Lepisosteus oculatus: one gene and its partner. Each later gene encodes a partner of the first gene's protein in a complex. Links are inferred from orthologs where the notes say so. Each region holds a gene or a part of one and is shown on either strand. Other genes may lie near its edges.

The links.
Region 2: the proteins of fgfr2 (region 1) and fibroblast growth factor 8 are in contact, whole or in part, in a crystal structure (PDB 2FDB), measured with the Homo sapiens proteins. The link is inferred for Lepisosteus oculatus from reciprocal best matches to the Homo sapiens genes FGFR2 and FGF8. Residues at the interface, in NP_000132.3 of Homo sapiens: Glu160, Lys161, Glu163, Lys164, Leu166, His167, Ala168, Val169, Pro170, Asn173, Asp247, Val249, Arg251, Ser252, Ser282, Asp283, Ala284, Gln285, Pro286, His287, Ile288, Gln289, Ile291, His293, Leu309, Val311, Leu312, Lys313, Ala314, Ala315; in NP_149354.1 of Homo sapiens: His53, Val54, Gln57, Asp62, Leu64, Ser65, Arg66, Leu68, Ile69, Arg70, Tyr72, Tyr75, Arg77, Gly80, His82, Val106, Glu107, Thr108, Thr110, Phe111, Gly112, Ser113, Val115, Thr148, Glu149, Ile150, Val151, Leu152, Glu153, Asn154.

The regions. Positions count from the first base shown.
Region 1 is NC_090699.1:29,540,701-29,555,999, forward strand, and holds the start of fgfr2 (fibroblast growth factor receptor 2), read right to left. Parts: upstream 8,769-15,299; 5' UTR 8,056-8,768; coding exon 7,994-8,055; intron 5,211-7,993; exon of another isoform or gene 5,150-5,210; coding exon 4,974-5,149; intron 1-4,973. UniProt on the Homo sapiens protein: Tyrosine-protein kinase that acts as a cell-surface receptor for fibroblast growth factors and plays an essential role in the regulation of cell proliferation, differentiation, migration and apoptosis, and in the regulation of embryonic development.
Region 2 is NC_090699.1:35,822,456-35,837,754, reverse strand, and holds the start of fibroblast growth factor 8, read right to left. Parts: upstream 9,543-15,299; 5' UTR 8,458-9,542; coding exon 8,426-8,457; intron 8,339-8,425; coding exon 8,302-8,338; intron 6,918-8,301; coding exon 6,737-6,917; intron 2,171-6,736; coding exon 2,064-2,170; intron 1-2,063. UniProt on the Homo sapiens protein: Plays an important role in the regulation of embryonic development, cell proliferation, cell differentiation and cell migration. Required for normal brain, eye, ear and limb development during embryogenesis.

The DNA of each region.
Region 1 (15,299 bases):
GGTCTTGAAGGTCCTTGAAACTGGCCCATTGCCGCTATCTTTTGCACTGCATGGTATAATTTCACTGGAGCGAAATAACTTGTAGTAAAGAAGCCTGTATTTACTCTGAGCAGCCGTGACTCTAACACCCTGTTGCTTTACAATGGGCAGAGCTAAACAGGGCTTCAGCGATTACAGCTTGAGTGGTTTTATCAGCAATTTGCAAAATCCATCACAGGAGGTAACCGAGTTGTTTTCTGGGACATTAGCAAATACAAACAAAAGACAATTGTCCTCCAAATAGAGCTAAACAACAGCTGGGTCATAAAAGCCTTTTAGCAGCTGTTTAAGGGCACAGCAAACAAGTGGATGAGTTTGTTTAATGGGAGAGTTCAATGCTGGTGGCATACCTGTCAGTGGAGGCACAGGGACCTCAGAGCAATTTCTGTCTTTATGATGTGTGTTTTACTGTTACAATAACCCCCTAGGATTAACCACCTTATTTCATGTTTAACCCTTCCTCTTTGGCTCTTTGTTCTGCAGAAATCGCACACAGGTTGATTACAGCAAAAGTCAAGGAATGAAAGGGCTCTTGCTTGGCTGTCTTACTATAAGAAAATAAAACAATAGTGGCATCACAGGACACCCACTGATCAACAGGTATGATAATGCACCATTGAGGGGATTACACAACATAGCACACAGTATGCATGGAGCATGAAAAATAAACATGTTACAGTTGCACTTTAAAAGGCTCTATGAAAACTGTTTGGAAACAATGGGCATTATACTGATGCTCTTGACAAACGTTCAGAATTGTCTGGGCTATGTATTTCAAATTAAGGATGGATAAAACATGTCTGAACAGAGAAAAAAAATGGGAAGCTCCTAAAGGAATTGCTTTTGTGCTGGAGAGCTCTGTGAAGCCAAGTTAAGGTTTACAAAGTTTATAATCTGCTGCAGCTTCCAGCTCAAGTTATCTGGACATTGCCTAGCGTGATTTACATACAGACCTGTGAGGGCTGCAAAAGCCATTATATGATCCTCCAGAAGGGTTCACCTCATACTTTCTCAATTGCCAGAAAAGCCCAGAGTAGTGAAGTACTTCAGCTTGTCAAGTTTTATAATGTTTCCTCATAAACCTTTCAGCATGGTTCTGAAACCAGCAGCCAATGTACAGCACACAGCAGCTGGGACAGGAGAGGCCTGTCTGTCCTCATCAGCACCAACTGAAGAGGAGTCAGAGGGCAGCAGACTGTTTAACCATGCTGCAGCTTGCTTTTCCTGGGTGTTTTTCCCCAGAAGAGCAAGTTCTCTCAAGGGAAAAAGAACAGTCAGGCACTACTGAGCTGCACCGGTACTATACACTGCTCTGTATTTTGTCTAATTTTGTAGAAGAAATTTCCCAGGTATAAACCCCAATTTCATAGCTTTTTATAAACAACCTGGGCTTCCATATGTGTCTGTCTATACAGGCCTGCCATCCATCCATTTTCTAACCTTTTTATCCAATACAGGGTCATGGGAGAGCCAAGGCAAGCAATGGGCAAAAGGCAGGGTAAACTGGGCAGGAAGCTACTCCACTGCAGACCACACACACGGGCCAAGTTTCTGAGAAGTCAGTTAACCTTCCAACTCTATCTTTGGAGTGCAGGAAGCAACCGTAGGATCTAGAGGAATCACATACAAACACAGGAGAACACACAAACTCCACACTGACAGCACCCCAGGAATTGAACCCAGGGCACCAATGCTGTAAGGCAGCAATGCTAACCACAACACCACTGTGCTGACAGGCCCCCCCTTATTCCACACACAAAAAAAAATACTCAGCCTTTTCTAACTTTCATACACAAAGGAATCAAGAGCATTCCTTCTAGATCTTCATACAGCCCAAAAGCTCCAGCCGGAAAATCTCAGCGAGCAGCTAATGTACAATATTTCATTGCAGATTCACTAAACCATTTCCCCATAATTTACTACATTAAAAGACAAGTACAACTTGCAGAAGAAAACCTCCCACATGCATAAATATACTAATCAACATTGTTGAACAAAAAGTTTAGCTTGTCTAAGCATTATAAGCTGAGCAATGCGGAAGCTGGAGTGTGCAGTGGGGTGTGTTCTGCATGACATGTTTTTTTCAGGTGACATCACTCTACAGCTACTATTTCCCAGCAGAACTCCACCCTGGGGGGTCAGTGTGATCTATGCTTCTATGCAGGTATGCAAGGAGTCAGCAATGTAACACAGGCTATGCCAAAGGTACATGTCTTGACAAAAGTACGTGTTAAGACAATGTACAAAATGAACAACATAAAATTAAAAAAAACTCTATAGGACTCTTCTTCCAGATTTGATTGCAAGAAAAATGAGAATATGAGCTTACATTTGAGCTTGCCACATGTGTATGTTAAGCTATGTTTTACTGCTCCCTCAAGAAAGTCATGCATCCTTGAGCTTGACCCAATCGTTCACACTACTGGGACATTCTAATGTCTAGGTCACATAATTATTTCAATATTCACAAAGACATTTAAGACTCTGCAGCTGTATAATGAGTACAACACAGGGGAAAATAGTGCAGGACAGGATTACAGAACTCCTTTGTGAAAGCAGAAGACTGCAAGCTTTCAGTTCAGGGGTGTAATTTTCACTGCAACAGCTGAGCATAGTGCTGTACTGACAACGTACTGCCAGCCTGTCTGTCTGCAGAGACACCATTAGAGGCAGATTCCTGCACCACGGCCTCTCTCCTGCAGATTCCACAAGTGCCGATATGCTCAGAACCACTCCACACTACTCCATAGTGCCAGCATTAAAAGTATTTGCAGGTCAAAAAATATTAACCCAGTATTTATTTTTATATATATTTTATATTTAGCTGACTAGTATTTAAAGCATTTTACTGAATAAACTACCTCAGCAACATCTCACCTGGGATTTGAACCCACAACCCGATGAAGCACTGAGAAAGCAACAAGATCATTTGCACATGCTTGTTGTGAGTTTACTTCAGAAAAGGAAGTCCTGAAACCACTAAACATAATGGAATTCAAGTCTATGTTTTGGATCCTATGTATTACAGACAGCCCCAATCTGGAGGAAACGCCGACTACAGAGCAAACCAACCAAGACTGGACTCTTTTCCAAATTCCCCAGCGATTCTCATACCACTGCCTATGAAGTCACAGTGCAAAGTTTATCAGAATTAGAATTTATATTTTTTGGAAAAGGAACTCTCACTGGAATTGCAGAAGGATTTTTTCTTTAAAAAAATTAAAACTGAAAATTACACACAGCCCAATTCTATAACACACAGCACTATCAGGATAAGGGCACCACTGCTGGAGATGACAATAGGTGCTGATGAGCTTTTCTCATTGATTTATAAGAAAACAACCAAGTTAAAAAAAACAATTCTGAAATAATATTAGAACATGACAGAAATGTCATAGCTTCACATAAAATGAAAAGGAATTCGAACTTATTATTCAGCACTCTGGAAAAGTATAGCTTTTCTTATTTTTTCATAAAAACGCTAATAAACAAAAAACCCAGCTAACAAATTGTGATGTATGAGAAACATAGGTAAAAAGAATAAATTAAGGAAAACATTCTCCATACACTGTAGGATAAACTTTCAAATCAAATCCAGCTTTCCTGTTACAAAAATAGAACAACTGCTTTCTTAACAAGCAAGGTCAGAACAAAGAGCACAAAAGTTTAACCGAGCAGAAACATTTATAATAAACAAATAAAAGGCTTCCTATTTTGATTTTACTTTGATAAAAGAAATGTACATAAATAACATTGAAATTAAAACCATTTACAAGCTTTCTCCTCTTTATTTTCAGGCTTTTCTCGTTCTATAGCGAAGTACAAATTTAACCACACAACCCTAGAGAGAGTGAACATTGACTAGTGAATTGTACAAAATTATTCCAGCTTTCACCAGAATAATTGTATTCCTTCTGAAAAGTGCCTTTAACGTTCACTTCCAACAACTCTCTCATCCCTCTTTGCAAGTCATATAAAGAACTAAAAAATAATTCTAGAAATAAGCTCTGGAAAACCATTGTGAACACAGCCTGGTTGCCTGTAGGGATTGTCTTTCTCTTTCCTGTAGCATGTTTCTCTCTGTTGTACAGTCGGAGTGAAGGTGTGAGATAGACAGATAAGACTTTATTGATCCTGAAGGGAAATAGGAGTGTGTGTGGCTGCTGTTTGCCTTGATCTAGAATAGAGTACATTGCTTGTTTACAGGCTAAAACAGTTAGATTGTTTTCACCAGCTGGAACAGTGGAAAAGCTCTGTCAACTAAAAGAAGCTAGCCTCACTCGGTCTGCTTTAGTCCCACACTGTCTCACTACTTTAACCTCTGATGACCTGCTGACCAGCCCTGAGCACCAGCCTGGGCAGCCAGAGGTCAGCAGACCATCAGGTGGGCTATCAATTCAGAACATCATTAGCCAGCGATGAGGGTCTTGCCTTTCTCTTTCATTCTCAGATTACACTTGGTGAGCCAGACAGCCTCCAATCTTTCTTAACTGATGACAGACCCCTTATATATGCATATGTGAGTGTTAGAAAAGAGGGGGAAACGTTCTGAGTTAAATGAGGTTTGTATGTAATTCTCATTTCTGCCTTATCTCACTGTAGAATAAGTAACTTATCCTAAGAAAAGTATTCCAAAACCACTGATGCATTTTCATATCAAAAGTCAAAACAATAAATACAATAAACAAAACACCTATCTTTACCACAAGCCTAGTAACACCAAGAGTATAAGTACTTGAAATGTATCACCTGGTCATTCAGATGACTCTGAGTCTTATTTATAAAACAATCTGTGGCTTTTTCAATAAAGAGCAATGGTATCTCTGTGCCAGTTAACCAGTTTTCCACCTCCCCCCACCAAAAAGAATGAAATACAACTGTCACTGAACACAGCTGCCAGTGTGTTGCAATGCCACAGAAGTACACCTGCTCACCTTCGGGTTCCAGTGTGGTTTCCTCCTCAGTGTTGAACGGTGGTCGTGCCAAGGAGACAGTTGCCATTGACACCAGAGCCAGGTACAGTAGGCAAGCCCACGTGGACATCCTGCTAGCGGAGATTCCCCATGCTCCTGTGGATCTCCACCCGGACACAGATCCCATCTGAGGACCTCTGTGGAATCATGAAACACGGGCACTCAATCCTTTCTCCACCAGCGCTAGTGTCTGTAGCACTGTTCGATGCAGAGGCAGAGAGAGAGAGGGAGAAAGAAAGACAGGGAGAGAATTAGCCTCCAGCAGATTGTCTTTAAATGCCCGTTTCCAGTCCTGGACTGTCCCCAAGAGGGGAGCTGGACAACAGCTACCATCTCCTACAATGCAGGAGAACCCAATTATGTTTCAAATCTGTACCAAGTCTCTACCAACACCTGCGAGCAAGTTTGAAACTCTTCAACGGGCAGCACTTGAGTTCCTACGCTATGGCTCTGCTGCCTCTGCTTTCTTGTGAAACTGAATTACACTCTTCTGACACAAACTGAAAGCATGTGACACTGATACATTGTAAGTAATAGGCAGCAAAACCTCAAGTCTCAAAAATGGGACAGTGATTTGAAATGCTGCAAAACAAGCCAGACCACAATCATACCTAAGGATTTACAAACGGCATTGCAAATGAAGCCTCTTTTCAACTTTTAGAATAATTTGGCCAGACTCTCATTTAATTGTGTTAAAGATCATTTGGGTTTTGTTTCCCTTCCCTCAAAATCATTTTAAAATCCATTTTGAATTTCTGACGAGAAAATAAGTGTAAAAATAATCTTTTTCTAATATAGTCAATTTTCTATTGGTTTTCTATTAATTTCAGAAAAAATACGGTACACACTTGAAAACATGAGAATGAATGTATTTGAAAGAGAGTTTTATGTATTAATAAACTATTTCTAATGGATTATTATCCTGGAAAATACTATGAATTACTACAGTAGACGCAGTACCTCCCGAAGAAAATACTTAACGAGGTTTTTTCCGTATCTGGCAATTAAAACAGTCTGTTACAACAGCAACATGAAAGCACGAAAATATGTCTGGAGATTGAATGTTTAGAATAAGAGAATTTTCACAGATGTTTTTGGTCTATACTTTAATGGTTATTTTACATAACAAAGCCCTACAAACTGAAGAAATTTGGAGTTCAACCCGTTTCAAATGCAGCCACTTCAAACAGAAATTGTACCACCGTCAATGCTGGAAAAATGAAGTCGGTGCCAGCGGGGACCGCAGCGCCCAGTACTCCAGAAACTGTAACCGCTGTGACGGACCGGTCAGTGGATCAGAGAGGGGCACACTGCTCTCCATTCCGACAGCCAACAAAGGTCCCATTTATCACAACACAAATACTATCAGTCCGCGTGGAAATAACGATATGAATTGTGGTTTTATTAAGTAACATTATTTCCAACACAAACTGAATCGTGTTCCGCATCTTTCGCTTTCTCCTAGGAGAGGGGACTGCCGTGAATAATTTAATTCTACTTTCAACTTTCTTGATTTAGCATTTATAATTTAAATGTCATTATTATCCCTTTAATGATCCATTATCTAGCCCCACAACTCAGATATAAATCCTCTCGGAGTACATCGGCAATGAAACCGCATTTCCTACATTATTTGCTACAACGCGTTTTAAATAATCGTAGTAAAAATACGAAATACAAATAACAGGACGTTTTATTTTAAAAACCCGATGGTCAAAATCGGTAGCTCTTCACGTTTATGGACAAATCGAAAATACCAAACAACATATCAAAAAGTTATACTGAGGATACTATATATTAAAAATAATACAAACTGAAGAAATCCATTCAGATAGTGTTTTCCAGGAGTGTTTTCAGATAGGAATAACCTCACGGTAACAGTGGAGTTTATCTCACTTTTTAAGGATCACTAGACTACAGTTTCAGTCAATCGATGTCATACAGGACTTCTTGACATCATTTACTAATTTTATTCACTTTAAATTGTATGACATTTTTACGCATCTTAATTCGAGACCAGGTTTTCGATCAGATAGATACTGAGCATGATACTTATTTTAATAATTCACGTATTTTTGTTTCGTTGACTTTTTTGTAGCGTGCAATAAATACTTTTCTCGTTTAGAACCAAACATCGCATAATCTTCCAGCTGGAAGACGCTGCGCTCGCACTGAATAGGCTGCAGTAATTGCGTCTTGGAGAATCTACATTTGTATTGAGATTGCTAAGTGAAGTTCTCAAGCGCTGATTGCATTCTATTGAAATTCAAATCAGATTCACAATGAAAACGCTTGTCAGTCGCGGAGATTTACGGCCATCACTCAACTCAGGCATCAACATCAGGCAACTGTATCTTCTATAATCGTTACAATAAAATTACGTTTTGCTTTAAAGAATGAAATATTTTAGTGACTTCTAGGGTTCTTCATTTGAAATAACACTTTCACGCCTCAATATTAGTGTTATATGGACATAACAACACAGCCAAATCATCTTCTGAGAACCCAAATGAAATACTGCAAGTGAAGTTGTATTGCAATTAATATCTGAGTATTATCAGAGAATTGCTACAAAACATGCATTATCGCTTTCCAAAGCAAAGTCTGAATTTTATTCAATAAAACCGAACAAAACCCACTGAAATGAGAACTGTATAAACACGAATCAATGTTAATAATGAGTATTAAAATAATAATACACAAAAATGAGATTTCTATTAAAATATTGGCAAAGAACGAGGGCCATTGGGAAAAGTTCAGTCATATACTTCCAGAACAGGTACGCAGGAAACCTAATTCAAACGTTGTTACGAGTTAAGTGTAAAATCATGCCAAAAATAAAAGAAAACAACAGTCATGCACGCGGAGGTAACATGTGCAAACAGCACGAAGGATGCTAAAGCATCTTTACTTTGGCACGAGATTTACTCGCACAACTATTCTGGGCATCTTCAACAAGCGATGGGTCCAGCGATAGTTACCTTGAGCGTTTAAGAGCCTTGGAGAAGCCGATCCTCATGCACTGTGCAGCAGGCGTGTGCATGAGCCGAATCAAAGCGAGGAATGCGTGTGAACTCCCACCGGGACAGCTCCCCGCTACAAAAATGCCAGACTGCGCTTTACTACTCCAACTTCGCCGTCACCGCGCTCTCCACAACAGCACCGAAGAACTGGAAAATCCGATAGCCGTGGAACAGTGCAAGCATGACCCTTCAAGAAATCCGGAGTAACCCTGTATATATATATATTTCCCCGAAGACAACTGCAGTTCCGAGTGAGGTCCAGGAAAACTTTCTTCTCTGTTGCTTCACCACTTTTTTTCTTTAAAAAAATACTTATCAACAGCAAAAAATAACAATAAATTCTTTTCCAGCTCTGCAAACTCAGATGAAAGAACTAAAAAGACGGATCCTGATGTAAAAGGCGACGCTATGAAACCTCCAAAAAGTGAGCAAATCCATTAAATTACGATTCTTGTGTTTTGTATGCCTTCTTCAAGAAACCTTGCTCTAATCTCAAAAGCTTTGTCAGGTTTACAAAGGTTTTTTTTCTTGCGTCCCCCCCACCACCATCACTGACTCTACGAGCCCCCTCCTCCGGCTCGGTCTAGGGTCACTCCCCCTGTAACCTGAGATGTTTCCTGGGCAGCTTTCTTACTCAGCCCGCCTTCGCCAATCAAATCACTTCACCGGTCTCTCCGGCTCTGTTAGCTGAGCCCAATACGCTGCAAGCTCACAGCCCGGCGATTGTGAAGTTCTCTGGGTCCGGGAGCCCAACTTCATTAGGAGCCTCTCGTTCTTAACAACGCCTCCAAGCGGACTGAATAATAGCTACAGAGAGGCAGGCAATAAAGTTAACTCTTCGAAGTAACGACCCAAGTAATAGTGTGCCGATTGAAGGGTTTTATTCTTGTCTCCGGACCACGAGTTAACGCGACTAACGCTTGATTTCTAAGTTTTCTTTTTTAAGACCAAATGTGCTGAAACTTCAGTTCATGATGTGATGATTTCTCACCCCCAAGAATTTCCAGATAATATCATGGGGTAGCTTTTATAGACAGCAGGAAGTGAGCCAAGCAGCCCAGTAATACAAGTTCTCTAAATTATTAGTCTTGCAGTTAGTGCTGGTTATTATTTCTAGAGTTCAGCAGGACTACGTGTTCTTGCATCCCTGCCTTGTCCAATAATTACCTTTAAGAGCCAAACAATCAGGGACTGTTCACAGACATTATTTTTCCCAAAGAGCTGTCATCACAACAGTGACAACCAGGGTTTGTGGCCACCTGTTATCAGACCGTCACAGCACTAGCGTACTCAGGATCACAAAAATGGTAGAAAAAAAACATACCTAAATGTATCCAGGGCCCCAAACTATCTCAGCAGGACCTAGCTGCCTTTCACATCAGTTTTGTTCTTTTCAATGGATTGAAAGGGAGAGAAGGATGGGGGGGTAATCTCTTCACAGTTTTTTTTTCTGTGAAAGTAGCTGGAGCCTCTTAAAAACCAGTCCCCACTGGCTGTGAATGGGGTAGCTAATAAGCCTATTAATGAATCCTTGGGGTGTGGTATGAATGGGCCAATAGGCCTCTCTCCACAGAGCCTTGCAGGACAGCGCAGTAAAGCCATCAAGGACTAAAGGTGACAGTTTGGGCTGGGAGGGGAACAATAACTCCAGGTTTCCAGGGAAATAAAAGAGGGACAAGGCTACCATTCAATGGCTCCCATACCCCCAGCTGAGTTTCATTTACCCCCTCCTTCTCTTACCCCCTCTACTAAGTCTGGAGCTGTCCCCAGTTTGTCCAGAAGCCATTGAAATGTCCTTTCTTTCAGTGGCACTCTCCTAATTCGACTGCAGAGCGACACTGGAAGACCAGAGCTCTCCAGGGAAAATAAGAGGTCATAATGTGCCATGGCTCTACACAGATTGCACAGCACGGCCCTGCCTCAGCCCCTGTCCTGCAGACAATACGGCAGGATGAGAAACACCTTGCAGTCCTTTTCAAGCAAGACAGAAAGCTTCAAAATCAAGGAGGCTCACTTTTGTGAAGGAACAGCATCTTATTCCCAGCCTCCCCATTTTCCAATTCTTCTGAAATGCAAAAGAAAACTCAGCTTCCTGAAAATGCAGAAGCAATTCAGCGGTTTCCCTGTTTGCTTTTAGGTCTTAAAAGTCGATATTTAAAACACCATAGCAATTTATACACACAGAGTACAAAAGCAAAAAACGAAATGTGAAATGATGGAAAAGAAATCCTGCACAAGGAGAGAAAATCTGATATCTGTTCCAGCAAACAGTCTTTTGTATGTAGATGTTGGTTGCATTACTATTTTCATCACACATATTAGTTATTTTTTGCAGAGATGTCTAATTGACGTATTTGATCAGGCAGCTTTGAGCCACCTATGATGATGGAGTTACCCAGTTATCCAGTATCTGGGCTCTCCTCATTATTACATGCAGTTCTCCTAGGGAGTGGAGCACTTTAGCTACGGATTAGTGAAAGGTCTAGAATTCTCCAACCCAACCCACCAATTCATAAAACATACAGATAATTATGTACATTTAAGCTTCTTTTTAAGTTTATACTGTATGTTCTAATTTGCTTATGTAGTTTTCCTGTTTTTAAGTAGACGTTCAAGTATTTTACAATAAGTATACACTATTTTTTTTCCTCCAGACAACTCTCAGAGCATCCCTTATTGAAGTTTTGTCAGTGTGTTTATTATGGGGCATTTACTTTGCTGTGCTGTTCTGAGATTCAGTTTACTACCCATTGCTCTGCTTCTATCAGCTTATACTTGTAAAGGAGATGGCCTGCCAATGTGCAGATTCCCAGGTTGTCTTTACTTCGCAAGGCAATCCCAGTGTTGCAAACTTCTAAGAGAGTCAGAATTGTGTTTCCAAATTAAGATTTTCCCAAGCCAAGTAGGATATGAAAAAAAAAAACAAGGAACTTTAAAATTGAGTGTTTTTTGGTTTGGTAATGGCATAGTCACACTTTCCATATACTTTGATCGGGAACAAAATCACAGACACCTCAACATGTTCTTACCTAGGGGTGTCCTGGCGTAGACTCCTAAACAGTGTCCAGAATGGTGTCTGTCTCAGGCTCAATGTCATTAAACCCAGTGAGAAAAACTGTAGAGAGTGAGTGGATGATCTCTATAGAATAATTCCTACCCTCTGCAGCAACTCAGTGAATGCCGGTACCGAAAGTATGTACTCTGCATGCTTTCATTCTGGTCAGTTACGCAGTGTTCCACTTTCCTTCACAAAAAAATGATACGTATTGCTTAGCACATTCATTTAGACACAGAGGAATCTATTCATTTATTTAAGCAAATGTTTGACTGGTGGATTCAATAGGATCTCTGTATGGGGATGGGTACTTTATATTTGACAGCTCATTCTTTTTTGTGGCCGTTTGAATAGCAAGAAGTATGTCAGTAGCGTCTAGGAGATGTTTTATATGCATTCCTATCAGTAGAGTGTAAGTTACTACTGCTGTTTTCCTTTTTCTCAGGGGGTGGGGTGATGAGGGTCAAATTGCTGATTGGTAGCCCCTACAGATCTGCACTGGGTCTGCTTCAGATGACAGGAGAGGAGAAACAAACCAAAAACACTACCTGGTGAAAATTTCCATCGTATTTCTTCATGTTATAATTAAACCATCAGCACTATAAAGGCAGTGATTCATTTCCTGCATTAAATTTAAAACAAATGGAGGAGTTTAATGTGAACCATATAGGTTCCCCTTTCCCTGTACATGTACAGTACTGTACATTAATGTTTGGAAGGCATGAACATCCAGCACTCTGTCTGGACAATAAAAAAAGAGACTCAACAGGGACATTTTCAAAGCTCTTTACTCCAGATTAAAATTTGTTTCTCATTCTCTGAAAGTCATCAAAATTGTTTAAAGGCACAAATCTAACAAAAGATGACATTGGTGTGGCAAAGAGAAATAAAACATACATCCACACATTCTTCGACATCCTTTATTGTTTTGACCTTTGCCCTCAATGATCTTTCTTCTCTATCCAAGAAAACTGTTCTGTGTTGATCTTCAGGTGAAATATGTTGTCATTATGTTTCAAGCTAACAGTTTATAGCTATGTATTCTGTAGCACAGAAAGTAGCCATTTAGCTTAATAGATGTATGGAGAGGAAGAAATGATGTTAATGATGAAGCACACCTGACAGTATGTCAAAAAGATTTGATCTGGTAAATGCGAACAGGAAACATGGATCCAGTTCAATAAATCTTCCTAAAACAAGTAGAATGTTCTCACAAGAACTCTGTCTGGAAAAAACTGAGTCTGAGTTTGCACTGGTTTATGTTAGAGTTCATTTGAGGATAATGTTAGTTGGTATTAAAGTATTAGTGTCAGGATATGCCAAAAGCCCCATGTACAATAAAATATCCCTGCATTTTTATTTAGACATTGGGGAATAAGTACAATATGTTCTAGAAAAGAAGATGTTTTTTTATTTAAAAAAACTGCTAAAACTACATAGCCTGTGTTCATGATCCCACTGTTGTATTGTTTCCTTTATTCAATCTGAATTAATCATGACGAGCCACATATTATCGTGAAGTCTTACCAAAATATGCTTAATATTCCATAAACTATACAAGGAACTTGGTGAGATGTACTAAAACTGCAATGACATGGACATTAGTGGCTATGAGATTTATGAAAACAGGACAAAAAATCCAAAACGTTTCTCATTGAAATGGGCTTTCAGTGAATCCCCTGTGCCTGCTAATGACACAGACAAAAACAAGTTCTGCTGCATAAAACATGAGCCCGCAAAATGGATGACATCAACCTTCTTATGCAAATCCGGCATTTCTCCCCTCAGCCTGCCTGAAAACAGCTTCATCTCTCCCGCAGAAGAGGTCGTGAAAGAGCCTTCTCTTCGCGTGTCAATGGCTGAAGCCACTGCCTGAAAACTGAATGCATTTTCTAGGTGCTAACAACGGTGACCAATTGGCACCTTATCCTGCTCTCACAGTACTCCCGTTAGTCATGGTTCAGCTCTCGGTAAAGGACACTCAGTATTACCTCCTGAGAATCTGCAGGCTCCTTACTGAGGCCCATTGGCAACACAGGCAACCCATCAGTGGCAGCAGATTTGTTTCTATACTGTTAGAAAATTAATATCACAAGTTTAGAATTTGTGGATGAGACTGTGACATTGTTACCAAACTGCAGTATTAATTTTATGCGTTATTACTTTTTTATTTTATGTCTTATTTGCATTCCCTTTTCTCATTGTATAGTTTCATTAGATCAGGTTGGTTTAACGCTCAGGCTCTGCATGCCTCATGAAATGTTAGTATGGTAAATTTGCGAAGTGCCAATAGCTTTATGTTTTTCTGTCTACTATGCATTCACATTTACTTTTTCCGTAGTTTCCAACTGTTTGTGCAGCTGTTTCTTTGCCTTACGTTTGGTATGGCCTACTACACTTCCGTACAGTGCCGTTACTGTGATACACTACAGTGATGTGCTTACATGAGATCGCAGTTGCATTCATGCACACATTTATTGTACACCTGTACCCACAGACATGGCTGCACACTCATAAGACACAAACACAGCCCAGCAAAAGGCACCATTAAATTTATGTCTTTTCTGTGACACGATGACACAGCACTAATGAGGAGCCGTAAAAGCCAGGTCAGTTCTGTCTGTTAGCCATTTCTGCTGACCGCTGCTTCATAGTCTGCGCCTTTCTGATGATCTAAGCAGGAAGTAAAGTTAAATATTGAGACTAAAGTGATATAAATAAAATACAATTGTTGTTTCACCAAGAACTTTGGTGTACAGATGATAATAATAATAATAATAAGAAGAAGAATAACAGTCTGTGAAAACATGGTGAATAAAAATAATCTATATCCTGGTAAACACTAGTGCTGTCAATTAACGCCACAGACAGCTATCTCCAAATAAAAAAGGGAGTCCTTGAAGACTGTCCAGCTGACTCATTCTTATCAGTGAATCTATTAAATGTCTGACTCTAGATATAAACACTATAACTGTCTGCTTCATTATAAGTCAAATCTTAATTAAGGTGCTGCTACGTTGTTAACTGTTCTGAGGAAATGTAATTTTTTTTTTCATTTTAAATAATGTGGCAACAGTTATACATTGCACACCTGCAGATCATTTAAATTACATTAAAAGATATTCAGTGTCTTTTATGGAAAAACATCATTTGCTAGGCAAATAAAGGCAATTATTACCATAAATGAAAGGTGTGGGAGGTTGGGCATGCAAAGAAGCTGTTTCTTCTCTTCCGGAAACATCTCCATAAAGCCACAAGGCTTTGAAGTCCTTTCTGTACTATTCCAAATTCAACTTCATTTAAAAGAGAATGTGAATTGTGATTATGTAAATCACCATTTCCTTCAAAACAGACACCAGATACCAGTAAAAAAAAGAACTGCAAAGTTACATTTATCAAATGTTCCACACAACTTGACAGAGAAATACATACAGTAGTATGTTTTTTAGATGTCTAAACTAGTTTTAAAAATTAATCTTTTTTTTTGTTTATTGAAGTAAACATCAAAGACAAAAGAACTTTGCCTTTTATTCAAACTGTGTTGTTCTGAAAAAGCACAATAATTTATTTTCACAGGGTGTCACAATGAGTAGGCATTAAAAAAGGGGAGGTCCATACCAGAGCATACAACTGTGCCAGTTTATCCAGGTCCCTTTAGCTACAAGCACACTAGAGAATACATTTAAACACAACAAACTGCACAACATAACACAACAATTTTTTCATGCCTAAAAAATTGAGCAAGGACTAAAGAACAGCAGGTGTTCTATGTGCTGCCTGATCCTTTGTTGTCTTGGTAATGGTTTTCAGAAAGGTTACAAATCAGAGGAAGCCATTCAGCCCATCTCGACAAAAGGAGGAGGCCCATCGACCCATCTGGTTTCTGGTGTCATGCTTAACATGCCACAGTGTTTGGCATTGCTGCCCGTGGTCTGCAGTGCCTACATGCGTGGTGTATGCATGTTCTCCCCATGTTCACATGTACAGTATTCTCACGGGTCCAGTTTCCTTCCATGCCCCAGATACATGCAGGTTAGGTTTCTGATATTGTCCTCTCCACATACACCTCCCCACCTCCAGGTCTAGATTGTTGTTCCCTTGAGAATGGTAGCTGGATTACATCTCATTTATTGTCCAAGAAGATACAGGCTTTTCCAGTGCCCACAGCTGACTACGATATCCCATATCCTGGAAATGCTGGGCATACCC
Region 2 (15,299 bases), about 6.3 Mb from region 1:
CTGCAAGTCTCTAGCCCAGGAGCCTGCTGATCGCACTGCAGCAGTGGCTGGGTGTCAGCAGGCCCTTCACTCTAGGTGTGTTTGCGATGTCCAAACAAGTTTGACCCCAGCCCCGCACAATCAGCAGCCCGTCTGCTCAAGTGCATATCAGCTTACAGTCCCTCTCTCCTGCTGGCGGACTCCTGACACTTCTACTGCCCGTGCACAACTACTGGCCTATAACATCCCAAATCCCAGCACAACACTGTAAATCACAAACTGATAGTGTATACTCATGTACAGCAGGTATAACTGCACTTTTCTAATGAATGTAGTAGTGGGTTGTGTTGCAACACCGTCTGGAAATACAACTTCTTTATGATCTGGGACAATGCAAAAAATACATAAATGACTGCTTTTGTGTAGTCTCTCTATGGAAATGGACCTGCACAACCTGGCCTACTTAAAGTTTCATTTAAATTAATTGGTGATGTAATTTCTCACTTCTCTCCCTTATCAGTTGTGTTGTGGGACTGCTGGTTCATATTGGCTACCGACTACTTCAGTGGTGGGTGATGTGGGCTCCCCCTATATGTAGAGTGCTTTAAGATTAAAATTGCTGCATTAATGCAATTATTTATGATCATTATTAGTAGGACTGTTATTATCACAGTCATCATAAACTCTATATTCTCTTGGTCACTTAAGAGATGGTTGATGCATCACGTGGGACCAAATTTGTAATCACTGCCCCGATCAGCTGAATGAAGAGTGGAACCTTATCTCCTACCGCTTAGCACAATGGGACTATTAAAAATAGCCCATGTATCAACAGAACGACACATAGACCTCTCCCAGAACAATCCGATACATTCTGCTTTCAACTGCAGAGATGTCACTTAGAATAAGATCAGGGTCCCAGACAGATGGTGCCTCAGGCAGGGTGCTGTGGAGCTAGGGAGAGCATTTGCATCTGAGTTTATTACCGATCACAGCAAGAAGGATGCACAAATCTACCCTTGGAAAAAAGAGCCCTTGGAAAAGGAATGTGGCAGGATCCAAGTCCTTACATCCTGTCACCCTTAGAGCAACCAATAAAAGAGAGCAGCAGAGAAATACAGACTTGGAGCTCACCGAGCTGCTAGTTATGTAAATGACTAAAAGTGTTACTCATATGACAACAAACAGAAACAAAAAGCTACCCCACAATCTGGTTCTAAGCCATCTCGTTTTTAATCCCATTAATAGAAAACAGAGTGTTTCCCTTTGCGTCTTTTGGAACATTCAAGTACTGTTCTGTCAGTGCTACAGAGTGAAAGAAAAAAATGTAAACTGAGCTTTGCTGATGGATTATTATACAGATTAGATTGAAGTCTATTTGTTGTGGGTACTACGTGAAGCTCAGGATTAAAACACATGAGCGAAACCAATTACAAATGAAGCTTAGAAGACCCTTTTTAGGTAAAAGATAAATATGAATAATGGGAAGATTGTGCTAGATAAAAAAGCTCTGTTTGCAGCAGGTAGATGTAGCATGTAATTGGAGACAATAGCAAAGCTGCAAAGCTATTAATTTATTTAAGAGGAAAAGAAAAGAGATGTTCTATTCTTAGAAAAGAAATGCGGGCGGTTCTGCCAAATTTTGTTCTTTACAGTGACTGTAAGGTCAAGTCAGAGCTGCTTGCAAAAACAATACAGAATTACATGAATGTGACCATAAATTTGCACTTTTTTTATTTATTTGACTACTGCTTATCTGTGGCAGATTAAATCCTTATCATTCCCTTGAGATACAGCACAAATTTCATTAAAAGCAATACCAATGAACTCTAACAATTTTCTGCAGACAGAATGCAGGATTTACCATGCCTTGCTGCATCATGTTGTACTGTAAAGTGTGTTACATTACCTCAGGCATACTTGCTTGAAAAGAGAGTAAATTATAAGGGTAAACATTGTTCAAAAGGTGAAATTCCTCTAGATTTTGTTAGCAAATGAAAGAACCAAATGTCAGAATTTGGCAATTCTCATGGACGTTTATAAAAAGATATGTGAAAGGAATCGGGTCAAATGTTATTACCTACCTTGCCAATCAGCTTCCCTCGCTTGTTCATACAGATGTAGTATCCAGTTTCTGCACCTTTAATTCGAACCCGGCTGCCAAATGTGTCCGTCTCCACTATGAGTTTGGCTAGGGATAGAAAAGAAAAGTATTTTTTGTATGACATTATTTAAGTATGACATTATTTTCAAAAACAAACAGTAAGCAACCCTTCCCCTGCTTCACACTTCTCACCCAAGGTTTAATTAAATGTACAGTTGCCATCAGTTACCAATTAAGATTGGGCAAGAGGGGTCTGTTTTGGGGTCCCCTTAGTGTGGTAACTGTGTATCTCCTCAGAAAGAATTTTAAACCCTCACCACAAACCACTGCTCTCTTTAACAATATGCACATATTACTAAAGCACACACATATACACATTATAATCTGTAGGGACCATTCCTGCCTGTCTGTAATACCTGAGGATTTATGCAAGCTTAAATTCTTTTAAAATGATAAAAACATGTGTAGCACACTTCTCTGACAAAGAAAAAGACATTCTGAAGACCTGCCACTTCCTGAAATGAGCCTTTTACTTTGTACATTATACTTCTATCTCAGGTCTAACTTTGGTTGAATTTGGGAATAGAAAACTTTGTTCTTTCTAAATGTTTTTAACCATAGGAAAGTGGCACTATTTTTCAAAAGAATGAGCAAAGATAAAAATCATCACAGACTTCAAAACATGTCCTTTAACCCCCCGTTACATGTTAATGTTACATGGCCTTTATAATTACTACATACCATAAGCTGTTTTCCTTTAAAAACTACTGATTTTTAAACCTATGAAGAAATGATGATTACACTTTGCTTTCTGAGTGTAGTTTTGTTGTGAATTTATCACAATAAAAAAACTTGATTAGAGTCAATTGATCTGTTTTAAAGAATACTGAAAAATGTATGCCGAAATTTATCAAACATCCAACTTTAAGCTTAAATTGATGCTCTCTGAAAAAAAAAGATCTTGAAAAACAGTAGTGATATTTCTACAGCAAATACCCAAAATGTTACACTTCACATGAGTAGTATTCTGTTCTAGAGACATTTAAAATTAATAATACAACTCGAAATCAGGTAATATTTCATTATCCAAAACTTATATTGGAAAACCTATACAATGGAAACAGAAATGCTGTTTATTTTGTGTATAAATTAGCTGTGAAAAAGATGTCATTATAGTATTAAATATAATCTGAAACTGTGCTAGGAGTAGGGATTTTTAGATTTTAGATTTGTTACAGGAAATAAAGCTCTTTATCAGACCCTAATGGAGACCAAAAACTTGTGATTTTATTTTGTCATTTAGAGTTTCAGCTCTTGTAAGTCATTGTCAGACGAGATATTGTTCTGGGTTTGCCTGATAATTCTAAACTTTAATTGAGAGATGTCACTACCTTGCTTTTGTTAATAATGGAGCGATGCATCTTTGTTAATTGAATGACCTTCAAGACCAGATCCTCCCTGAAATAAGAGATTCTAATCTCCAATGGGAGCCTGCTGGTTAAATAAAGATTAAACACAAGTGAAAATAAAATGATTCATTCAATGCTTTACAGACAGCAGGTGCTCACCCTTGTACTTGTTTATTTACCGAAGACTGTTTTATTCAGAGAGAAGTATGGGGAGAAAAGACATTTCTGCCTGTCCTATGATTCTCAAAATGCTACCTAGAGGACAAACTGTCCACCTGAGAGGGGGTCCAGTCTCTGGAAATACCCTCTCTTCCTCTCCTGACAAACCCAGAAGGAGAGACAGGCCGGCAGAGTGGATCTGGCCTACGCCTTCAGCAACTTGTCATTTGCAACAGTCGCAAATGACATGCAGGCCAGGAAAGAAAAACCCGTCTAAGTGTGCTTCACCTTTTTGTCTATACAAGTCAAGAGAAGCTATTGATTTAGTCTCAGTTTTTAATGGAGCCATTGATTGAGTTGCAAACAAAAGAAATGCAAATTCCCAATCAATGGCGCTTCAAAACATAAGGGCAAAGGGGGGTGGGTCAGTCACTAGGCCGACCCGATTACCTCGGATCTTTTTGGAGTAATTTGGAATTTTCCTGCTGGATCTCTGGCTTTTTCCTCTTTCTCCCTTTCAGAAGAACCCGCGCCGCCTCAAGTTGCCACTTCAATCTGAGGACACATTCACCTTTCTAACCTCCACAAAAGGTCTGGCGACATCGTATGCGTTCCGCCAGACCACCCATGTCCAAATCTGGGTCATTTCTTACACAAGGATCATTTAAGATTCCCATTGATTATTTTCTATATTGTGTGAAGGGAGACACACGATGCTGCCATTGCCAAAAACGCACCGGGTAAACTTTAACAATACCTGACTGTAGTTTTCACCCAAAACAGATACAATAGGGAATATGAGATTTCAGCTTCATTAGCCAACTTGCTTGCACTCTTATTCAAAGCCTCCAACTCTAAAGTGCCAGCAATCCCTGCAGACCAAAACACACCACAGTGTGTGGATGGACAAACTAGAGGAGTTCTTTGATGATGCAACTCTTTAAACATGCAGCAGAGAAAAATTAACTCTGATTCATAATCTCATTTATATTGCAGTCATATGGAAGAACACACACCCAAACTACCAATCGGCGCCATTATAAAAACACATTTTTAAGTGAGTATTGATTTCAAAATGCTTACAAAGACTATGCTAGGGTAAATTTGAATGATCAATAATAAATGCAAAAGGCAAGGAAATTGGTAAGAATATATTCTAGAAGTATTTTACATATATGTCCTCTACAAAGCTGATGTGTTTTTCATTAAAATGAGCACAATTAAAATTTTATTTTTTATTTCCTGTTTGGGGTTGTTGAGAAAACCCTTTGTAAATATTATTAGCATGTTTATTACCAGCGCGAGGGCCAGCTTTTTAATTGAATAAGTGAGAAAATGTCCCTTAATTCTATCTAGGAACGGCAGGAAAATCAATCACGTAGGCAGTAAAAGGTCTAAAGAGTATTGATTTTTACTGACTGCATGGGGAGATCATGCTTAGGAAGTGGCCTTCGCTTAACACCGAAAACCTACAGAAAATTTAAACCCGCAATCGTTTCTGCCGTATCAGCCCTCGTCCAGATTGTTCTTAAAGTAAACGGGTGTGTTTCTTATTATGATAATTATTATCGTTGCATTTATTGTCAATATTAACACACTTAAATGTAAATGAACCAGCCAGCAGCACACATTTACAATTAAATGCTACATCAAAACGGTGTCACAACTACTGGTAACTGAATTTATGTTTCACGCTTAACTTGGGCGGTGATGACCGCCGAGCTAACGGGTATCCTTCGCTAATGCCAACATTTCAGATATTTACTCGAGTGGAATCAAGTGAATGCCAGATTTTAATTGTGATTATTTTATGTGCCATCCATGGTCCAGCACGTGTGCAAATTCAGGTCGCCCGAAAAAGTGTGACTGGGAAAACAAACTGTGACATTTTTTTTCTCTACCATAGACCGCTCTGAGTAATAAATTTATCAGGTTAGGGGTACATATGGGAATGTCTTCATAGCTTTTTATTAGTTAAACATAACTGGTCAAGACGTCAGCCCTTTTTGTTATTCCAATTATAAGACCCGTGCGCAATGAACCTGCTGGGCGGTTTAGATTGTTTCCTCCATTTCTTACAAGGTATACAAAATCTTTTAATAAAAAGTATAAAAGACTGTTAGTCTAGAGGTTAAAATGCGGCTAGACATATTTGATCCTAAAACTGGCCCGAAGAAGGGGGAAAGCTAGTCAGGAAATGTTCAGAAGGTTAAAGTAAGATGAGTTCTAATGATTCTTCCAGACATACTGCTCTCTCTTGAGAATCGCATTCAGAATAATCTAGAAACCGTTTTTAACATTTTCTGCAGTCGGCGGCCTCTTTTCAACTTCAACAGCTGAAATACGGTTCATTTTCCCTCCAGAAAAATGCTTTATGTTCTAACGCCTTCTGTTATTTTATTGGCGTTCAATAATTATTCATAAATTTAAGCTATTGCCTTATCTAATTTAAAAGATATCATTATATATAATAAAAAAAATGTCTATACATTAAAAGAGTACACCTCAGGCACATTCATTTTTAGTAAAGTGAGGCATTAGGAATTGTATACCTTTATATAATTTCCTGTTATCACCTTTTGTTATATAGCCAATTGTCCTATACACATTTTATACCGATCTTTAATGTGTAATGTTTGCAATTATGCATATTTTGCAGATTTCTAATTGTTTTATTGAACTAATGCCAGACATACAACATTATGAGAAATGAGGAATAATACGGAAATAACACGTACAATCTGGCAAATCAAGGGAAACAGGGTATAAAGTATAAATGACTAGATCCTGCCTTTAGCATGATATGCCCAATGCACTTTCAACGTAAGAATGAGCGCTCTGTTTATATTGTCCAAATAAAATAACCCCTTACTTCTAGTGACTTAGACAAAACAGATGTACTTTCCAGCGGCTCATGTTATTAAAACACGCGCTGTGTTCACAACCACATTTGATGAAGCTGAATCAATTAGCCTCTATTGCTTCACCTATGGCAAGTTTCAGTCATAAATGTTTGAGAGTGATCTCTGGGTGGCCCTTCCCCCGTGCAGGGTCATTTGTGTATTTGAAATACCAGAGGTCTTACCGTGTGCGTCGCCGTCCTCTGCCATGGCATTGATTTTCTTGTTCCCCAGAACTTGCACGTGCTTGCCACTCGTCCGGCTGTACAGCTGGTAGGTCCGAATTAGCCTACGGCTCACCCGGTCAGTCACCTTACTTTGTTCACTCACATGCTGTGTAAAATTAGGCGAGGACTGAATGGTTACCTTTAAGAAATTAAGAAAAGAAATATACAACATACCTTTACATATCTCTTGAAGAATATCTGAACCACCCCCCCCCCCCCAAAAAAAAAAATAACTATATACAATGATATGTATATTTTCTTCAACTATAAGTGTAAGGATTTAAGCAAATTGACTCTTATTCTTAAAAGAGATTGCCCTTAAATACATGCGTACCCTACATAATGACCTAAATCTTAGAATTAAAGTACATTTAATATAAAAACAGTTCAAAGACAAAAGACAGGACATTGTATATGGATTGTCTTGTGGAAAACTTTTATAGGAAACAGAAAATCACTGTAACCGAGATTGTATTGTCCGGAAATATGAAATAGGAATTTATACTAGCAGTCCGTGTGCAGGATACCTCGGTTTGTCTCAGAAGATTAGCACCGTATATACGGCTGATCTTTAAACCTGTTACAAGAACAGTGTACTTTGCATGGATTTTGAGCAAATGTTCAAGGGTGATTCTCTTTTCACGTCAACTCGAGGAATAGAGAAGATATCAAGCTGGACTCCCAATAACCCATGTCAAATTGAGAGGTCTGCTTTAAAGAAACAACGGGGACTGGTGAATGAAAACTGGCCTTAATAGTCCCCCCTTGACCTTCTCCACAAACCTACTCTTGGCACATTTATTTCTGCCCTAGCTTCTCCTTTAAGACGAGGGGCAATATGGTTAGAGAAATGCCTGCCAGCTTGTGACGAGTACAGCATGTGGCGAGACCGCTGTCCTCACTCAGTAGGATCTCCATCTGATATATTGTTATCCTACCAATAAAATTATCTTACACCCTCTTCTCTTTCTACCTGTGCCGTATTTTTTAACGATCCTCTGTCAATTTTTCAGCCATACGCCAGTCCCATCTGTTTTAGCAATCGCATTTTTTCTCCTAGTTATACGGGTTTTCAAGATGTGTGTGCAGACATATATATATATAGGCACACACATTCACGTCATTAATATTCTAGAATAACAGTGCACTTCCTTAAACATATATATTTACTCCAATATTTATTACTATTTTCGTTGAGAATCACCTGACGTCTTAGAAACATGTTTCACTGTACATATCGTGAAAAGCGATATGCTGATAATTCACTGATGTCATTATGACAATTTAATACAAATGCCATATTTACGCCCTCCACGGATGACAGCTCTGATACCAAAGTATATTGTGTATTCAGACATATACTCTGACAAAGTTAATGAAACGTTTCAAGTGATTTATAGTCAAACGTAAATAATATATTGACTTTTACTTTATCTTAATTCCAACCGTTTCATCTGAACAAAGTCAATCCATATACAATATTCTAAAACATAATTAAAAAGCAGAGTCTGGTAGGGACATACCTGAGCATGGAAGCATAAAGCGAGGAGGTGAAGTATCCTGGAAGAGAAGAAAAGAAGATAGCTGAATACTTAAAACATTTCAGAAACATTATAAACAAATCAAGGATAAAGCAAATGTACTTACAGGTAGCTTAATCTTGAAGGTATGATCCTCATTTTGAAGTTGCTTTGAAATAGTAGAAACAAATGAATGGCCTGATTGTCCTTGAAGATTATTTAAAATATGACAAATTTGCCCCCTTCTGCAATTGAAATAGTTCAAGAATCCCTCAGTACCTTTGCAGGAGATAGCGGTTCTTATCTGACAAACAACTGAAGGGAGATACTGTTCAGCCCAGTGGCAACTGTCGTAGTATTTTTATTTCTTCTTAATCCTTGCGTTAGAATAAGGTGAAATATTATAATTTTCAGCAACCCACAAAAAACGAACAATTGAGAAGATAAGAGTGACAGGAAAAAAAGAAAATATCTATCAAATCAATGTCTTTGAAGACAGCGGAGAAATAATCCGTTTTAAGACAAGGATCATCCAATGTTATACTCTCTCCCCCCTAACAGGTTTAATTCATTGACAGAATGGGACGTTGATTGTTCATAAAAGCGTCAAAGTCAATTTATATCAATAATTTAAAATTATATATAAATAAAAAACGTGGACAACGTGTATCCACCAGAAGCACCTTTCAGAGCTGGACGAAACGCTTGATGCCGAAAATGCAGAGAAGAGCGTAGAAAAGAAATAAATACGCATATATAAAAACCTCCAATGTATTTCCCCAGAGTTAGTTGCAGTAAGTACTGTATTTTACGTGTCACGACCACACTGAAAAAAAATCTTTCCCAGAGAAAAATCCTTGGCGAGGCGTTTCTGTTTGGTGAATCACTTCTTTTTCTACTGTCCTGATAAATTTGTTAGGATCCTGTAGTGATTTTCCTTGAAGTCGGTCAGTAGTGGCAGTTTTCGCAATCCCGTTTGGTAATAGTAGCCCTGGGTGATGTTGCTTCTGTGAGCAGCAGTGTTTGACTGAGTCCTTATCCAGTCCCTATCCCCTCCTCTACTCCCATTCCAGTCTCCAATGTCAACCCCCTGTTCACGCCTGCACCCCTGATTAAAATGGTAGGAAGATCCTCCGTACCAGCCTCCTTTTCTTTCGCTCTAGAACAATAGCTGCCCCCAATCAAAATATACCTTCACCTGGACAAAAGCGAACACTTCAGTGAAAACGGGAGGAGCTATAACATATCCAAAATAAAAAAAACGCATGTAGGTAAAACGAAAAAATACAAAGGTCAATGCTTTCAAATGAAACCTGAAAAGATACACTTTTTTGTGAGTGTGACAGAGGGATTAGATGGACGTTCGCTAGATAAAATAACATATTTTACGACGGCGATACATTTGACTATAAGCCTAAATAATGGAAAATCTTCCAAACGGGAGTAAAAAAATGTAGCCTAATTTGAAAACTTTGGGAAAAAAAGGCACGTTTCGAGCCTTATCTTATATGGCTGACTTTAAAACTTGACAAGCGTAAGCTATTTTGTTTGAAGTATCAAAAAAGAAAAGTACATGTAATTATGAAGTTCTGATGATTTTTAAAAGAAAATAATGATGCCCAGTTGATGCAGAAACACTTTGATAAAGCCGACTTGTGTATTGGGGTGACGTTACCAAAGAAATGTGTGAGACGTATTAAAGGGATTACAAACGTTACAGCTTTAAAAAACAACAACACTCACGCCTCCCCAGGAATATCACATTCTCAACTATTTAAATTGCCCTGTTCTCGCCTCGTCTTTTCACATTTTCTAAGACGCTTGCTGGAGCTCCAAAATGATACGAGAAACGCAGAACAATCCAAGGAGAACGGTTATTAAAAACACATTAAGGGGAAAAGGACCCAATTCTAAATCCCCAATTATATAAAGTTTCCATCCAGTGTAATCTAGTGTCTTTGACACTAGTACTCTCACACTTCGTAATCAGGACTTAATTCCATACCACTCACTATTGATAAGGCTAATCCAAATTTGTAGCTTGTCTATATCTATAGGACAGGCAAAGAGTAGAAAAGAAGCTTTGTCGTTCAATAACTCGATAGCGTTCATATGCTTCACGTCAAGGAAAATGAAACGCTGTATGAGGGCCAAGGGTAAATTAAGATACATTATGCAACTTTCTAATTTTTTTCATTGAGAGACTTTATATTTTCAAGAAAAACGACATTAACTTTAAACTACCATTTTATTAAGGAAAGTTATCATTGCTTCTTAAATGATGGCTCAGGTCATGATGAATGTATCCATGATTGTTGTTTTTTTTTTAATACTGCAAGCCAACCCAGACGGTTTTGTTTAATAACTCCTCTAGCTAAATGACGGGCTGCAAAGTTGATTTAATCAGAGCGATGTGGCTTTTAACGGCCTTTTTTACCCTCGTTAATATCTATTATTCTCGTAAAACCAGAAGCCAATAGTATTGTAGCCTTACCAAAACAACGATTAAGCCGATTAAATTTAAATGCATTTATTAAGAATACTTATACCGCAATAGTTATATGAATTTCTGAGGGGTTGTTCCCATTTTTGCAACTTTTTTTCAAAAATGAGAAATTATATCTTGCATAAGAATTCAGCACAGCTGAACTTCCATCATTAAGTATGCTCAAATGTTTTTTTGAATCCACGAGCTTTACAATTAAAGCAGCACCATATATACATTTTGCTGTTTTAAACAAGGATCTTCAAACCTTACACTTACCAGAGGATTTATGAGTAATATTATATTCTTTTGAAAAAAAATCCTATATAAACAATATTTTCAAAGTTAGATTTGCCACGTTCAGTGTGATATGTTGTATGTAGCGAATTTCGTTCTATTCTACTGTGTGAACACAGGTAATAATTTCTAGCTTCCTTAAATTGAAAAGGCTGAACCCGCGCGGACCAACTTCGGAGAACAAAACACCACTACCTTTCATACAGACCTGAGAACCGGCCAGTTCGTCTTTTTAAGATCCTATTCTCCTAGACTCTTGTGCCTAGCTGATTGGCAGGGATGAAGTTTACTGTAAACCTGCGATGTGAAGCTCCTGCTTCGTTCGCTGCTGTCCATCTTTTCTTTATCTTATCAAAGCCTATAATTGCCATTAACATTTTGTTTCCTAAATGAGAAGAGCTATCTTTTCACCGACTGAAAAAAAGTAACGAACGCCTGTCAATTTAGCGCAACCCTATAAGGTCCACAAAAGTAATTTTTGACCCCCAAAGCGACTAAAGCTGGCACTGTTCAGCACCCATTAAATGTCCTTCAGGACGGAGTGTTCAAATTGAAAGACATCGGTTAGTCTACTTTTGACTGATCGCTGGTAATCAATTATACCAAAGACTGCAATGCCCGAGATGCAAATTGCTCTTTGCAGGTACTCGAGTTAATTAAACACCTATTTGCAAAGAAAGACAAACATGCAGGTACCATCTCTTCTCGTCTTTGTAAAGAAAGGCTGGACACTGGGACTCCCAGTTTCGTTCTCTCGCACAGAATACAGGGCTTGTATCTTTATTATCTGGCATTGCGGAGTTACTTGTGACTGTTGCTGATTTCAGCTGTTCAGCTGGTTATGCGAACACATGAAAAGCGCAAATACATCTAGCGTTGTAGCGCGTGAATGACGGTATGAGAGGGATCATAAAATTAAAATTTCTACATACCCCCGGGAGACGAAAACGCAAAGAGCTCCGCTAAGTTTAATTACAATTATTTTAAGAAATCTAAACTCTTATCAGCTCTGAAACAGATGTGCAACTCCCCACCAACACAAATAAAAAATATAAGTTTGATATTTTACTTTCACTATTATCTCCAAGAGTAATGAATACAAACCAATGAAAGCAATTCTAAAGCCTTGTTTTAATACTGCACATCATTTTGATTCTAGCTTCCCCCTCCCCCGATACCGTTTTATAAAAAAACATGACTGAAAATACAGTTTATAAATTGTTTTGAAGAACCTTATTTTACAAATCATACAAATTGCGCGTCTTTACTCTCTGGGACAGAAAAGGCAATTACAGCAAATTCAACAACGCCATAGGCTCCCCTTTTTAAATGTCTTTACGGTCATTTTAAAACAAAAAAATAATACTGCTAATAAATTGCAACGCTATATTCTTTCCATGGATTAAAAAACAAACAAATCTTGGGCGATGTGTGTAATGCTGAAAGCTGGCTCTTGAGCTCAACTCTAGATCTGCAAAGCATGTAATGTAGAAGTAATTAAATTAACCTTTAGATCACGCGTACTTTGTTAACCTAGCTGCTGCTCCGCCCCTAGGCCGCTAACTAACCTAAATGTGGCTTGAAATTATTTGGATAACTAACAGATGTGCATTTAACATAGCACAATAACACAATACAAATTAAAAAGTAGCTTTGTACAAATACACTTATGCAGTAAGACGTTTACTTCTTGCCAAATTTAATGTTTGTTCTAATTAAGATATTGATATGTACAGGATACATTATTATATTTTTAATTGACAAACATACGGAATTTTTATATTTTTTAACCTTCTGAATGCGAAAAGCAGAGAATACATTGACAATAGTACGTCTTCACTTTTGTTTACAAATTTATCATGATAATTGATTAGAAATGTAAAAAAAATGGGATGTGAACAAAACAGCAATGATAATGCAGTGAAGGGAAGTTGCTTAGTCATCAGAATTCCTTTAAGTAAACGAGGCACTCGTGAGAAACGCAGTAATAAAGATTGTCCGCCAGAGGGCAGAAGTAATCCCTATTGCGTAAACGTTTAGATAATATCCGATAAGCGGTAACTCGTCAATTAAAATGATTTTGCTTCAGTTATGGATGAGTGCTAGTTTTGCAGTCTGAGATATCAAACGCGTTAGACCAATATATATATATATTTTAAAACAAAACATCACAAAAGACACCATGGCCCCGCGTCAGGAAAAGCAGATTAAGAATGGATGCATAGATCAGAAAAACAAATGCACTCCCGACGCCTTTTTAATAAGTAGTTCATAGATACGTAGTGCCTTTACCTTTCTCTATAAAAACGGGTGGGTGGCCCACATCACACAATGTTGACTGCTACCACATTCGATGGGAGGAGTGTTAGGGCCGTGACAGGGCCTTGTTCTTTTGATTTTATGACAGTAGTGAGAGGTAAAAAGGGTGTATGTAGGGGAGGGGGATTTGCCAGTCACTTGGGAAGTCCTGAAAGCATTCCCTGAAATCAAACAAGACTCGAGGCCTACACATTGGCCTCTTCTTCCTCTTTCAAGAATTGCTTTCTTTTAAAGCCCCAGTTTTGTTTTTTTGATGTGTACGGTTTTTTTTCTCTCTCTCTCTCTCTTGAAGTGGCCCGATATTAATGGCCCATTCAAAAGTCAACACTCATGCTCCATGGCTGAGCACTTCTGCATAGCCTGAGGCCGGGCCGGGCTCCCCATTAACCCCAAAAGCAGCCGCTCTGCTGCTCCATGGCTAACCTGTCCAGGATGACTAACATGGGAAATGGGTTTTCTTTTCGACCCACAGCACATAAAGCACTCAAAGGTGGGTGTGCGGGGGGGTGGGGGTGGGCTCCTGAGGTAGAGACTTTCACACACAACGAACAGAAGCAAACACTAGCAATTCTCAGCGCAAATAAGCCCTAATAAAGATTTCCCACCCTCACGATATGTCAGTGCTAATCGCAGACTGCACAGAAACTGAGCCTATCATGAAGAGATGCTCGATTGAATCACAATTGATTCAGCTCCATGACAGTGAATGCTCTGGAAAAAAAAACCCAGCTCCTTAACATCTTTGTCTAAAGCGTTTCACTCATTTTATTTTGGTTAAAAGCTAATCTGAAAGGAGAATAAAAACTCGGCAACAGTTCCTATGTACAGTCTGGGATATTCCTGTGGACCTCTTCGGTAACCATTAAAACCCCTCTGCCCCAGCGCCCACATCGGCTGGTTCAAGAACTTTCTGATTTCAGACATCATTAAGATCAAATGGGCTGTTAAAGTGCGAATGGTTTCACAATCAGGCGTGTTCTGTCAGAACTCTTAAAAAACAAGTTAGAGTTTGCTGTCGGACCGAAAACCAAAAGCCGGTAACAAAAATAATTGCTGCAGGCCACCTGGCCACGTGGAATGTAAGAACTGGAGATGATGTGGTGCCGATTAGTTCCTCTGTATCTTTGGCATGGCGGAAGGAGATGGGAGACTAATTTTACCAAGGGCTTCAGAATTAGGCGGCCTTGGATTGGCTACCACTCAAAACAAGGGCATTTCGCATTTCAGTGTTTGAGTGGAATCGGCGTGGAAAACTAAATAAGGCTGAACTGAGACTGTAAGAACAGTTACAACTGAAAGGCCATTCGACCCATCTGGTCCTTTTGGCAGTTTGTGGCTAATTGATCCAAGGATCTCTTCCAGCTGTTTCTTGAAAAACGCCAAAGTGTCCGTTTCATTAGCCTGGCTGGCTGGGTAGTTTGTTCCATACTCCCACAACTCTCTGGGTAAAGGGTAGTGAGAGTATGGAAAAAAACTACCCGACCATGTTGTTAAGAGATGGAGAAGAAAAGATGAGTAAAATGAATACATCTAATTGGGTTAGCTTATCAATCAACTGTATCCTGGGAAAAGCTAGACATGTGATATGAAAAAGAAAATCAAGAAAACATTAAAATGAGAAAACGTAATGCAGACAGATTTCTAGGTAAAATATTTTTTCATTTGTCCTATGACAACAGAAGACCAGTGGACTGCAGGTCAAGTATCATTTCACATACACTTTTTGTCATACTTCATACTTCATACACTAGGAACCTCCACCAATGAATGAAATCAGTTTTTCCTAACTGACTAAAGAACAACTGCAAAGTCAGGAGAAAGTATTGGTAATTTCAAAATATCTTAAAGGATTTATGGTAAAGAGTTATAGGAAATGTGGATAAAAAATAGCCTTTATGCA